3 linked regions of the Arabidopsis thaliana genome follow. The protein of the gene in region 3 interacts with the protein of the main gene of each other region in a pairwise test. Each region holds a gene or a part of one and is shown on either strand. Other genes may lie near its edges.

Evidence for each region. Proteins that work in one complex are often made in the same cells at the same time.
Region 1: the proteins of PIN7 (region 3) and IQD6 interact in a protein complementation assay, tested with the Arabidopsis thaliana proteins (one large-scale study listed by BioGRID).
Region 2: the proteins of PIN7 (region 3) and AT5G49540 interact in a protein complementation assay, tested with the Arabidopsis thaliana proteins (one large-scale study listed by BioGRID).

Annotation. Positions count from the first base shown.
Region 1 is NC_003071.7:11,142,769-11,147,007, forward strand, and holds IQD6 (IQ-domain 6), read right to left. Parts: upstream 2,336-4,239; 5' UTR 2,215-2,335; coding exon 2,149-2,214; intron 2,075-2,148; coding exon 1,847-2,074; intron 1,770-1,846; coding exon 1,542-1,769; intron 1,470-1,541; coding exon 1,356-1,469; intron 1,280-1,355; coding exon 665-1,279; 3' UTR 522-664; downstream 1-521. Other genes in the region: CYP711A1 (cytochrome P450, family 711, subfamily A, polypeptide 1), read left to right, coding at 1-90, 173-502. UniProt on the Arabidopsis thaliana protein: May be involved in cooperative interactions with calmodulins or calmodulin-like proteins. Recruits calmodulin proteins to microtubules, thus being a potential scaffold in cellular signaling and trafficking.
Region 2 is NC_003076.8:20,103,960-20,107,884, forward strand, and holds AT5G49540 (Rab5-interacting family protein), read right to left. Parts: upstream 2,320-3,925; 5' UTR 2,026-2,319; intron 1,667-2,025; 5' UTR 1,651-1,666; coding exon 1,553-1,650; intron 1,455-1,552; coding exon 1,259-1,454; intron 1,149-1,258; coding exon 1,129-1,148; coding exon of another isoform or gene 1,119-1,128; exon of another isoform or gene 876-1,118; coding exon 845-875; 3' UTR 522-844; downstream 1-521. Other genes in the region: AT5G49530 (SIN-like family protein), read left to right, coding at 16-136, 224-283; BLOS2 (biogenesis of lysosome organelles complex 1 subunit-like protein), read right to left, coding at 2,743-3,042, 3,114-3,197; AT5G49555 (FAD/NAD(P)-binding oxidoreductase family protein), read right to left, coding at 3,452-3,581, 3,664-3,730, 3,821-3,925.
Region 3 is NC_003070.9:8,179,670-8,185,590, forward strand, and holds PIN7 (Auxin efflux carrier family protein), read right to left. Parts: upstream 3,982-5,921; 5' UTR 3,738-3,981; coding exon 2,537-3,737; intron 2,460-2,536; coding exon 2,189-2,459; intron 2,099-2,188; coding exon 2,013-2,098; coding exon of another isoform or gene 1,975-2,012; exon of another isoform or gene 1,572-1,974; coding exon 1,414-1,571; exon of another isoform or gene 1,334-1,413; coding exon 1,257-1,333; exon of another isoform or gene 1,166-1,256; coding exon 1,099-1,165; 3' UTR 520-1,098; downstream 1-519. Other genes in the region: AST91 (sulfate transporter 91), read right to left, coding at 5,569-5,721, 5,817-5,893. UniProt on the Arabidopsis thaliana protein: Acts as a component of the auxin efflux carrier. Mediates the initial auxin gradient which contributes to the establishment of the apical-basal axis in early embryogenesis.

The DNA.
Region 1 (4,239 bases), on a different chromosome or scaffold from region 3:
AAAGAGGCTATGAGATTCTACATGGTTTCTCCTTTGGTTGCAAGGGAAACTGCTAAAGAAGTGGAGATAGGAGGTTATTTACTCCCAAAGGTATATTCAAACCCATCAAGCGGATTAGTCCATTTACAGTCAGCACTTGTAATCTATTACTTACCTTGTGGTTGTTGCTTAGGGGACATGGGTTTGGTTAGCACTAGGAGTTCTAGCAAAGGACCCTAAAAACTTTCCAGAACCGGAGAAGTTCAAGCCGGAAAGATTTGATCCGAACGGAGAAGAGGAGAAACATAGACATCCATACGCTTTCATCCCATTCGGTATCGGTCCACGAGCCTGTGTTGGACAGAGATTTGCCCTGCAAGAGATCAAACTCACATTACTGCATCTCTACCGTAATTACATTTTCAGACATTCCCTAGAAATGGAGATACCACTGCAGCTTGATTATGGTATAATTCTCAGCTTCAAGAACGGGGTTAAGCTCAGAACCATCAAAAGATTCTGATTCTTGAAACAAGTGAAATAAAAGCAAGACTGAAATTTATATTTAAATTCAAAACTCCAATGTAGTTCCAAAGGAAAAAGAACAATTAACAACATACACAGATATCTCACAACACACAAGACAACAACAAGCTGTTGAAACTCCAATCTAACAAGGTCACATTTAACCTCTCGGCTTCTCGAATCGAGTAGGAACACCGAGTGGTTTGGAGAAACTAACAAAAGGATCTGAGGAAGGACTAGTCTTCAATTCCCCTGTAAACATTCCAGAGTTCTTCATAAACTGAAACTCATCCATAGATTGCCTGAGACCGCGGTTAGTTCTTCGCTTAGCCTTTGTCGATTCAGTCAAGCTCATGTAACTTGGCTTGTGCTTTTTTGCTTGACTGCTAGAGTTATCTGAAACAAGTCCAGTTTTTCCAGAAACAGGCGTAGTTGAAGTACAAATCGAGGATGAACCTGAGCTCTCGTTAAACTCATAACCAGGACTTGAAGACAGCATATGAGGAGGAGGTTTTGCAGATACTCTAGTGGTCACATTGTTTCTTCTAACTTGAACAACATCCGCAGTTTCCGGTGATTTCAAATGTTTATGAGGCAGAGGAGGAGGCGTGGCAGCGGTATCAACAGTGTCCATAAGTCTAGTCTCCCATGGCCTAGCAGCCATCCAACGCTCCAACCAACTCCATCCCCAACTATTCTTATCAAACTCTTGACTTTTAAGATACGAAATCGAACTATTCGTCTTAAGGTTTGAGCTAGTAGTTGACCTCCATTGCTACACAAAACAAGATTCCCGATTCAGCTTCAGACACGAACTTAAACAAGATGTTGAATGTGGACAAGTTAGTTACCTTTTGAGCAAGAGCATAAGCCAAAGCACGTTCCCTCTTAAAAGCACCTTCTTGTCTCTGCTGCAACTTTGACTTAATATCATCCACAGTACCTTTCCTATCACACCACCCTTCCTGAGAACATAACAAATCTCAAAACAATAAACAATCATCAAACCAATGAGCTAAAAAGGTAAAGACAAGAACCTCGACTTCTTTCAAGAGATCAGATTTGGTTCTATGTTCATCTAAAAGCTTTTGAACAGCTTGTCCTTCAACAGTCATCCTCACACGACGAGCTCTAACACGAGCTTGTACTCTCACCAAAGCTTGCATGCATCTCAATGTAACAGCTGCTTGTTTCCTAACTTGTCTTCCTCTCACTAAAGCTTGTAACCTCACTATCCCTTTCAATGCCCTCAACGCTCTTCTCGCCTAATTAACAACAAATCCTCAAATTAAACTAAGTTCTATTCCTCTCAATTCTAATCAAAACCAATTAGCAAACTCACCAAGAATCCACGAAAAGCGGTTTGGATTCTAATAGCAGCCCATTCTTCTCTAACAGCTTTGAAATCTTTAGGAGGAGCTCTAAGAACAGTAGCAACAGCAGCAGAGTAAACAGTAGAAGAATCAACACCGTCTGAATCAGACCGATGTTTTCCTCGAAAACCCTTCCATGAATCTACTGAAGTAGTCCTCCATAGCTTCCATTTCTTGTTTTTCCCATTACCCTTTTCCTGAAAACAGAGTATCTCTCGATAAAGCTTTAACCTTTGAACGAGAGAACAAAAAAAAAAGATAATGAACTTACGATTTCATCCTTCTCTAGCTTCTTGAGACCGATAATGGACTTGACCCATTTCCCTGAAGCACCCATAGATTAAAAAGTTTCGATCTTTTTGGCTCGAATTCGTAGATTATTTTTTTCTTCAGGTATGTAGAAAGTTTGAGAGTGAGAGATTGATAGAGAGAGAGAGAATATCGGAGAATGTGAAGTTGTGGTGGTAATGGAGGGAGTGGTGGGTTAAAGAGAAGTTTTTGAAATTTGAACAAATCAAAGCAAAGCAACAAACAAAATATTAATAAAAAGTTTGCTCGAGTCTTTAGGCTTTTGTCTCTGATTGTGTTTTCACACTTATTTATTACTTACACAAACAAATGTGTCTGTGTCCTTCTCAGAGTTACAGGCATGAAAAAAGAAACCATGAAAAGGTACAATAAATTAATAAATATATATATATATGTATGTTAGGCTTTTTGTTGTTTTTTACTTTTTACAGTGACTCACTCATGTTCATGTAATACCTTGTTTTGTTTTATTATTCTTATATCATTGGATTCGAAATTTAAACTTCCCAAAATGTTGCAAATCAGATTTACGAAATACATTCTCTTTCGAAAAGCAATGTTTAGCTTTTGGATTTTGTGATTTGGACTGGTTAGACCTATCACTTGTCTAATAACCTCTATAACAGAACTTATTATCTTATATAATTATGACAAGGTTTTCTTTCTAAGACCATACACATTGGTCTTATGACTCAACAGTCAACACCCTATTTAACTCTCCACAAAACAGCGTTATAGCAATTTAAACTTTACAACTCTATTGCAAATTATAATAAATTATGCTCTCATAAAAAAACTAAATTCACGAGTGATTGATACAAAAAAACAACAACTGAAACGACAAAAGAACAACCTAAATTCACGAGTTAAAGAATCGAAAAAAATGCCCATGTATCTCCCAAATTTAGTTTTCAATATATATACTATTTTTTCTCGCTCATATTTAGTTTGAGTGAATCTTGTACATGAATCTATTTGTCTAGCAACTTTAAGATTAATTAGACATAATAAAAAAAAAAGATTAATCAGACAGAGAAAAAAGATGAACTCTGTAAAGATTGGGTCCTTAGCTATACAATGAAAATGAGATATATACAATTAATTCTAATTGATGATAACTTCTTAAAATAATAAAACAAAAATTACATGAAAACATGTACCACCGAAAACATGCACCATCACACTTGGGATTGAGTCCCGCTCGATACAAATGTAGGGATTTGGCTAATGGGCCGGACAATTGTGGCCCAATGTTGAAAAAAAACTACATGAAATACACAATGAAAGGAAAAAAATTCGATCCAAGAGTTGTTTGTCTGGCTAATGGGCCGGCCAATTGTGGCCCAATGTTGAAGAAAAAACTACATTAAACATACAATGAAAGTAAAAAAAATCGAGTCAAGAGTTGTTTCTGATATGATGTACATTAGCGATTAATGTGCTAACTCACAAATCAACCAGAATGGTGGTGGCATAGCTCTTAAAGAGGAAATGAGATAGAAACAATATGTTACAAACTAAAAATAAATCAAAATCATAGAGTATTACAACACACAAATAAATAAATTGGAAACAGACTCTACATGAAACCCATGAAATGAATTAGAAGAGAGAACACAAAAATATTGTATTAAATAAAATCTTTTGCCATTTTTCAATTGAGGATCATAATACATTGACGATGAAATCCAGAGATTGAATTCCTGATACCAAAAAAAAAAAGCAAATCAAAACCAACTATTGTTTTTTAACACAATTTAATCCACCTCATTTTCATCATCATTTGCAATATCCTATTAAATCAATTCAACACTCTCTATTGTAAATAATTTTAGATCATATTAAGCGGATCACTTTCGGCAAACGAATTCTTTAGACATAGGAGTGTAACTTTGGCTTTGGGTCGTTTTTCACATATCTTTGAAGGTAGAGAGAAGAGATAGTCAAAATCCTTTTTTAACTTCTTTAGTTGTTGGAGCTTTCTTTGGAATTTGACTAAACTTATGGTTTCTCTACTGTTGGACTAGGTTGGATTTCTTCATATCCAATATTA
Region 2 (3,925 bases), on a different chromosome or scaffold from region 3:
TGTTTTTATCATCAGGGAAGTGGTCATTAGCCTCTTAACCGGATCTCCACCTGGAACAAAGCTTATGAAGGCTGAGGTATTTGCAGCAGGCAGGACCAAACTTGAACGTGAAATCACCAACAACGAATATATAAAGGTCTTCACTTGAGCTCTCTTTGACTTTTTTTTTGTGTTTCGACCAAAGCGTAGTTTTAGTCTCTAAACTCTGTGTGTTGTGTGACAGGTGATGCACGAGATCTGTGAAACCAACTCTTCAGGATGGGTTTTACAGAAAGCTCGATGATGAGTTTATTAAATCATCATGACTAGATTTTAATGGTCTATAAATTTTGATATGAGTAAACGGTTCAGTAGTTATGAGATATTCATATTTTGTTTTTCCTTTTTGAAATCAAACAACCTTTTTTCTATTACTCAACTAGAGTTGGTAAGACAAGCCACACCAACACAGGAAAATAAACATAAGAAGCAACAAAAGAACTATACAATACACATAGACGGCTAAGTTCAAACTTGACAGAGAGTGTTCTAATGTTCTCTATTGAAATCTTAAGCATATTCGAATATATTTTACATGCAAGAATGTAAAAAAAAAAGAAAACAACAATGTGAACACATGAAATTGGAAGAAAGTGTAAATACTTGAAACTTTTCAATCTAAAGGTTTTCACAGTTTGATGTGATCTCAAATAACAAAAAAAGGTAATACGAACTCATAAACTGTTGTTCAAAAAGGGAACAAGAGAAACATTGTCAATCTAATTCAGTTTAGATGAAGAGGCTGCAAAACCCGAACTCAATCTTGTGTGCCGTTTCACCATCCTCATCTGGAGCAGAAGTTCCCTCAGAATATGTGCACCAAGTCATACGCAAATCTACTCCATTGTTAAGGAAACCTACTGAGACAAACAGAGAATAGAGAGAGCTGTTTTCGAGTTGCGCATATACTTGATTCTACACGAAGTAAACAAAAAGGCCATTTCTATGTTAATCACAGGTTCTTAAGAAGCTAATCATTTTTACCTACACCATACCATAGATGTTTTTCCATAAAGCTAATCAACCTTTGATTTAGTTTTGCACATTATCATAAAATGAGTATGACCACCAAATTGAGTTTAAGGATACGTCCAGAACAGCACAAACGACTGCGAAAAAGAAAACAACACCGCGATTAGTATGAGATTAACAGGTTGGATCAACAACATGTATCTTGAAGCAACAAACAATGTAATAAGAAAAGGAAATGAAGATATACCATAAGGCCACCAAGAAAACCGTCAAAAAGAACCCGATTCCACGAATCAAAGTACAAGTCAGCTGAGAATCCTGCCTTAGCCATGAGCCCAACAGATGTGATCAACATCACCACAAAGTAAAATACAAAACCAATCAAGCCATTGAATCCAATTATTCCTGCTAAGACACCAGCTATGATAGACAGAAACGTCCGGCTGCAAACACGAACAAAATGAGGGATAACAAGTCAAAAAACCCGAGAACCATCATCTTTTTAAGAAAACGAAAGAGAGAGAATTGTATTGAATCAGACCTGTTTTGAATGACTTTCAAATTGTTCTGCAAATTCTCTGCACTGAAAGTTGGTATGTCACTCATGATATCCTTTGATCTCTTCTCAGATGAACCCATTTAAGATAACAACAATCTGAAACAACATAAATTTCAAATCTTTGTATTGGATTTTACATTACAGTAACAAAAAAGGAAGAACTTGGACATCATAGAGTAAGTGTATAGATTACAAACCCAAAAAAGTATTGATTTTAAGCAAATTTCCACAGGAAAATTAGGGGTTTCTAATTGATTCAATGATTCTATAACTGGGTTTCGCTATCTAAGCATCACAATAAATTTCGATTCCTAAAGGTTAAGACTTTATGATTATCTCTTAAGTAGTCGAGAGTGGGAGCAACTATGATTAATCGATCTGGTTTTATCGATCTCTTCCGATCTACTACTTTGAGATCTACACAAACTTTGGAAAAGGAATTGATATAGACTTACAATTAGAAACGAGAGTAGTAAGAGGAAGATCGAAGTAGCTTGCTTTGGTACTTGGGATGAATTGAATGGAGAGGATGAGCCAATTTGAGAGAGAACAATCAGACGAATATCTTTAAGTTCTTTAGAGTGTTTTTAGACAAAAGAAAAACACAGAGAAAACAAGTAATATATAAACCGTAAAATCGAACCGGAACCAAACCTTAAACCGGATTGTCCACTACTAATCAAAATTAACAACACTCTCCAACTATGCTAGTTAAATTTCTTGATATTGAAACGGATAACATGATTATACATCACAATTTGTGATTATGAAAATTCGTTACTTACTACTAAAGATGAGCAGTTCAGTTTGTTCCAAGTTTTGGTTTTATAAAACCATCGCTATTACATTCAAACTGAAATTAATTCGGTTTGGTTTTGTTTGCTTAGGAGGTTTTAATATGTTTAACAAAACACTTAACCAATGCATTAGTAAGTACGGTAAATGGTTATATATGGAGTAGCGGTAAAAAAAAAACTTAGGTGCTTTTCGTTTGGTTTGGTTCCAGATTGATTTATGCAAATTTCAGTTTTGGTTAAACTTAAACCGAATGTAGACAAAATCATTCGTCGTATTCGTATCTAGCTTCAATATCAACTAAAACCAAAATAGCATTCCAGATCTCGATTCCAACAATCTCAGTAATGATAAAAATTAATTATTGCTACAATGCATCAGTCTGTAACAACAGAATCATTAGAGCGACGCTGATGATGAGGATGACGATACTCAGCTCGGATTTTAGATTCTAGGACAGAGACATATCGATCTAGAACAGAGATCACAGCTTCAAACTCCGACACTTGTTTCTCGATAGCATCCATTTGTCCTACAAATTCATCCAAGCCACCACTTTTTGATTTCATCTGTTCTGCGAAAACTCTGAGCCCAGCTGCCACGTCACCCATATCATCGTACTCTGACGCAACTCTCAGGTTCATCTTCTCCAATAGATCTAGATGGTTGTTCGTTCCCTATTTTTATCCAATTCAATTTCAGATCTGTGGAAACAAATAAATCTGTAAAATTTCGGATTGATTTTCACCTGGAGCTCGGATTTGACCATAGATGAAACACTCGTGAATAGATTTTGTAGCGATTCAGCTAGATCATCTCGTGAATCCGCCATTGATGAGGATATTTACTTCTTTTCGCAAAGACAAAGACAAAGACAAATAAACAATGGCTCTTCTGTTGTTTAGGGCACTTTCCATATTTGTTGAATTAGTGATATTTAGGTTAAGCTACACGTGGAGGCTTATTATTCGTTGATATCAACTATTGTCCATGTCTGTAAGCCTCTCCCTACGACAGAGGTTTTCAGAGCAGTAACAAACAACTTACACATGAGAGTTAACATTGCACAGTCTGAGATTATACTCGCTAGATTCTTTTCAAGTCTTGAAGAACAACATGTGCAGCGTTTCTTCCAGGTGCACCCATAACTCCGCCTCCAGGATGAGCTCCGCTGCCACACAAGTAGAGACCTTTCAAAGGGCTTCTGTAATTTGACCTGTTTCACACAGTCCAACAAAGTTTTGAATTTCATAATCATAAATCGTAAAGACTGTTTTGAGTACTTCGGAGTCACGTACCATCCTTTCACAGGGCGCATCAGGAAGAGAGAGTCTAATCCCATGGCACCGTGAAAGATGTTTCCGCCTGCAGAATACAAATGGGCAGTCATGTCAATATGGTTTGGCCATGTCGCATGTACTTGGGATCTTTCTCCAAGTACTTCACTTTATATACCTGTTAGACCAATTTCCCGTTCCAGGTCCGGAGGAGTCAACATGTCGTAGCTAATGATGGATGAGCTAAACCCGGGTGCATATTCATCAATCAGTTTGAAACACC
Region 3 (5,921 bases):
TTTATGTTTTTATTTTTCTATATATAATTTGTGTTTACATCACAAAGCTTACTAAAACGACGACACCGCGTTTTGAGTGCAAAGCGCCTAACCCACTTCTGAATGGTAACCAATGCTCTGAATGGTAACTAGAGCTTTATCAAGTCGACGTACTTGTCTAAACAGCATCTAAAGTTATACTAGACAAATTCCTTTTGAGAAAAAAGAGAGAAATTTTCTCAACGTCCAAATTAGTATAGTAATATGTCTAACATAAAATAGTAAAATATAAAGTGACTCAATTGGTAAAACGTTTAGTTTTCTTCATTTAAAAGTTCAATGGGTTGAGATGTTCTGGACTCATTTTCCCCTTATTATGTATAACGAAGAGCCGAATTGTAAGAAAATGGTGCATCTTTTTCCTGGTTTTACTCGAATTCTATCATATGATTTTCTTCATTTCATATCTTTTGATGTAATTATAATATAAATATAATCATATACGTCATGAGACAAGAACAAAAATTAAATAAAACCAATTGTAATATATCTTCACGCCTAATCGCTAACTAAGAGGTCATTTTCTTTATTTAATTGGAATAAAACAGTCCTTACTTTTGTGAGAGCAATGTATACTAGATGAGAAAGGAAAATCCACAAAAACACACTTTCGTCGAAAGAAGTAACCTACACAAAACACAAAACAAACAAAAAATGAATACCGTACCTACCTAATTTTAAACAAAATGAAAGTAGAAAGTAAGAGAAATTATTGCAAGTCAAAATATATGAACAAAGCTTTACCCTTCTTATAAAAAAAGAAGAGAAAATATACAAGCGTTTTTGGATCCTCAAATCAAATCTTAGTCCTCTGTTTTTTTTGCTTTCCCTTGTTTTGGTCCTCTTGTCTCTCTCATTCCATCACCTTCTTTCTCAAATAATCTCTAGAAAATATATAGACAAGAAAAGGGTTTTTGGATCCTCAAATCAAATCTTGGTCCCTTTAAATTTACTACATTTCGTGTTACATTACATTTTCTAGTTGCGTTCCACTAATCTTGGAATTATCTTGTTTCTCTTTATCCTCTTCAGCCAAGCAGAACTTCTCCATTGAAGAGCTTATAGCCCGAGTAAAATGTAGTAAACAAGTGTAATCGGTAGTGCGATAAGCATTCCAAATATTACCCTGCAATAATACACATAAGAATCAACAATATTAGTAATCTTCTCTTATGCATAAGAAAAGTTTTACTATTGGTTCAATATGAAATACTTACCCTGTACTCAAGATTGCGGGATGAACATTATACTCTTTTGCAAACACAAACGGCACGATCCCTTGAGGCAATGCAGCCTACAACGTTACCACAAGATTTGGTTAAACTACTTCTTACAAAGAGATTGTTAACAACAAACGAAAATAGTTTAATTTACTTGAACAATGGCCACACGCAATAGGTCTCCACGTAATCCAATAGCCATTGCTGCCACGGCCATTACCGCTGGTCCAGTAAAGAATCTCACCGCCATCGCAAAAGTCGCCGTCGAATTTCCGCAAGCAATTAATTTCGGTTGCAATGCCATGAACAACCCTTCACCATTTTCACATTTTCAGTTAATTCATTTCCACTCAAAACAACAAGTGCTGAATGATGCAATACATGTAAACGTAATCTAAATCCAATAAATGATGATGATGATGCATTCATGTACATTGTAAGTCCAATCAACTTCCACTTAATATGGGGACCACGACAACAATCAAGAACACGAGCTATGTCATCCCACCACGACCGTTTATATAATTCGACGTCGCATCAATGACCCTACCTGTCGGATGGTCCATGCCGTAACGGGCCATCCCAAAAAATCTTAAAAAATACCAACCATTTTCAATTATTGGAATCCTCACCAAAAAAAAGTTACAATTTTTTCCGTACGAATGTGGATGTTGTGACATTTGATTGGCGTAAAAATAGAAAGAAAGTAAATGAGTTAACGGAAAAAAGAAACAGAGTAAAAAGATGACTCACCCAAACTGAACATTGCCATACCAAGACCAGCATCAGAAAGAATTGAGATTGATTGTTGAATAATTTTAGGCATTGCCACATCCCACCTTCATATCCAAATTACCATAATCATCACTCTAATCAAATCTCACAATAATAATAAACTTCCACTAGTAGTTGATTTTTGATTAAGTTACCTGAAAGCAACAAGAGCCCAAATGAGACCAATGAGACTAGAGTAAGTGTTTGGGTTTCTTATGAGTTTCCTCCACACCATTATCAATATCAGCCGAGTCATCACACTCGCTGGTGGCATATGTTTTACCGGTACAGTTTCACCCGTTTCTATAGCTTCTTTAGGGTTTAGCTCTGCTGTGGAGTTACACCGAAGCTTGTGTAGTCCGTTAGGCACTTCCTTTACCCTCTCCGACTCTTCTTCCCCGCCATAGTCCCCGTTCATCGGACCAGCTACAAATTTAAGCAAATACAGTTTGAGATTTGTGTCCATATGTTACAAAAAAAAATACAATTTAAAAGTTAAAAACCTTTGTTTTCACCATTTTGAGTATGATCAGAGATCAACATTCGAATCTCTTTTGCACCGCCTTGATCGGATTTTCCGACTTGTTCATTGGCTCCATTATCAACTTGAAGACCAGCTCGGTCCGAAACGGGTGATCCGTTGGATCCCCAAACAAACATATGAAGCTCCTTAGCATCATTACTATTTGATTTTCCTACATGATGATGATTCTCTTTTGGAGCTTTACTACCGGTTTTATTACCGGTAGAAAACTCCGGATTAGGAGCTGGGTACGACCCGGGAGCTCCTCCCGGGTAATACCCGAATCTTGGCGAAGAAGCCATAGCACAACTCTCCTCAAAATTCGAAGGTCTAGGAGTAGGTCCTCTCGAGGACTGAACAGAGTACATATCCGCCGGACCAAAGTTCGAAAGCCGGCCACCGGGAAACCCCATCATAGAGTAAAAATCAGAATGATTGAAGTTAGATCCTCTTGGAGTAGTGTTAAGACTATAAATCTCAGCTCCGGTGAGATTAGACGGACGAGGAGTCATATTAGTACCACCACCACCGTAAAAAGATCTCCGAGAAGCGTTTGATTTTCTCACCGTAACATGAAGCTTACCATCGTCACCGATTTGAGCATCAGTTTCAAGAAAATCATGTCCATCTAAAGAAACAACATCGGACTCAACTTTGAACGATACAATCGAAGCACCAGTCTCTGGAAACTGTTCCATGATCAAGATCTTAGCTCCTCTGTATTCGAAAAGAAAGAGAAGAAGCGTGTACCAGATTATACACTGAAGAACAACGATCTGAACCATGAGTGAGCCGGAATATTCTCCGTACATGGCGATCAAGAGAGGTATTCCCATAACGAGAGTGTTGGGAAGTGTTGAAAGAGAGAAGATTGTGATGCTCCATTCAAGACTACCGGAGCGAGTGAAGTTAGCCCAGATGATTAGGAGAGTGAGCATGATTAGTTTTTGGAGTGTATCGGCTGCGATGAATCGGAGATTCATTGCGTAAGGATTGTTTGAGGAGATGAAGTGGAAAGAGAGAAGAGGGACGGCGAAAATAGCGACGAAGCGGTTTATGCCGGAACATTGGTCTGGTGAGAAGATTTTCCACCACCGGACTGAGCCGTAAGCGAGGATCATGGCTACGTAGAGTGGTATCACCGCCGTGAGGACGGTGTAGAGGTCGTGCCATGTGATCATATTGTTGTTCGCCGGAGTGGCAAAAGTGTAATTTTGAGTGTGGAAACCGTTAGGAAGTGAGTTAGTGTCAGTCTCTGTTCTCTATGTGATGACGGAAGCTTTTAACAGAGAAGCTAGTGAGTGTGTGAGAGAGAGAGAGAGAAGGAGAAGATTTGATGATTTTTAGATTTACGAGAGATGTCCCTTTACAGCTTTTTATACAGCAAACACATGACGACCTAATTAGTTCTTATTTCTATTTTATTACTTCTTTAAACATTTATAAACCTTATCTATTTTTGTACTTTTTAATACTATATATATCTTAGCTTTCCCCTAATTTATGTACCATTTAAGATGATATAAAGAAATATCATTTATGTAGTATTTATAAGTTATGGTTATGAATTGTGTTTGAAATAGGTTATGAATTTGTTACGAAATTGACTGAGATTTTTTAGAGTGGACTGACTGTCTACATGTCACACATAAATGAAAATTTCCATTCAATGAATTTTGTGAATCCTTGATAAAAACAATAAAGAGATATTGTGGTTTACCAAGAAAAAAGAAGAAATTAAGTGTGGTTTCATCTAAAAGTAATCATAATATTTTTTTATATACACGTAAATGCCGGTCCAAAACTTCTTGGGCCACTTAACGTATTACTAGGATTGATTTCTCATAAGCTCGTTGTGAGATAAAATACAAGTGTGCATTTGGCCCAAACAGAAACAATGTCGTAGTGGTGATTTAAACATGTGCTTATAAGGAGCAAAAGATCACTATAAATTGGTAAAGAAGGTGCAATGCAAGATCATATTCGCCGAACTAAGTTGACCTAAATTCTATTTCTTATTGTCTAATCGTCTTTTTTTTTTCAAGCTAGGGTTAATTATAACATCCTATGCAATCCCAAGAAATCTCACTTTTAAGCCACCCTGTCCATTTTCTTTCAGATGGTCTATCATGCATTCTATGTGGCCTTTTAAAAAAAGGTTGGAGTTTTTCGTTGTTGTTGTCGGGAAAGTATTAGTGTAAAAGAATACCTTATGCCATATGGAAGACTGGAAGTCACAATGTTATCAAGATCTTTCCGCGACCGTATCAAGAATTGTTTTTTCCTAGAAGTCACAATGTTATCATAGCTTTGAATGAATTCGATTAACTTCAGAAATATTTTATCATTTCACAAAAGTAGTAACATCTTATTAAAAATATCTATTAGTTTATGTTATCAGTTCATTTCATCTTTTAATCTAGCTAAATTTTCAATTCGATTTGATTTATAGACCAGTTTTATTTTGAGATAAATTTCTTGCTTATAACGTTTACACAATTATAATCGCAGACACATAGCTGATTTGAAGTCTTCTTGAAAGCAATTGCTTCTTCGATTCATCCGCGTCGGTTTATCCCTCTTGACAATTACACATTGACTTTTGATATATAATGTAAGCTCTAACTTGGCAAAGTTCTTAACACAATTCTGCTCATGGTTTGGTCATATTTTCTAATATTATAAAACATAATTATCTTAAATAAAAATATTATTTTTATTTTTTTATTTAATCAGTTTATTTCATAAATAATTTGGATATACATCCGTTTGATCTAGCTAAGATATCAATTCGATTCTAGATCAATTTTATTCTCGGAGACTAAACATGGCCTAGTAAACTACAAAATGGCGAAATCATACAAACATATCTTGACCAAAATCATCACTGAAGAAAGAGAGAGAAGAACGTAATATTACATCTGTACTGAAATTAAAAGATGAAAAAGAGACAAAAAGAAAAATTTAACCATCGGTTAAATATCAATATTGGACCGATACAAAAAATTATAGTTAAACGTTACTGAGAGATGGCCCTTTAAGAGAGAGCGACGCAACGGCCTCAGCGACGGTTAAGAAGAGAAACTCGGGCCTCATGAACTCTTTTTGTTCGTCAGCTCTTTGAAGCTTCTCCACCACTTCGCTTAGAGGGTTCACAAACACAAGCTTCACACATAAAATAAATATCCAGTTTAGATCAAAATCTAATTAGTTTCCTTGGATAAGTGACAAAATCGGATTGTGAAAACAACTATTTTTACCTCGATGTCCTTCTTGGCGGTTGTTTTCTTAAGTTCCTTAAAAAAGGACACTCCGTTTGTGTCTACACCGCTCACGGCTTTAACATATATAAAAGCAAAGTTAGC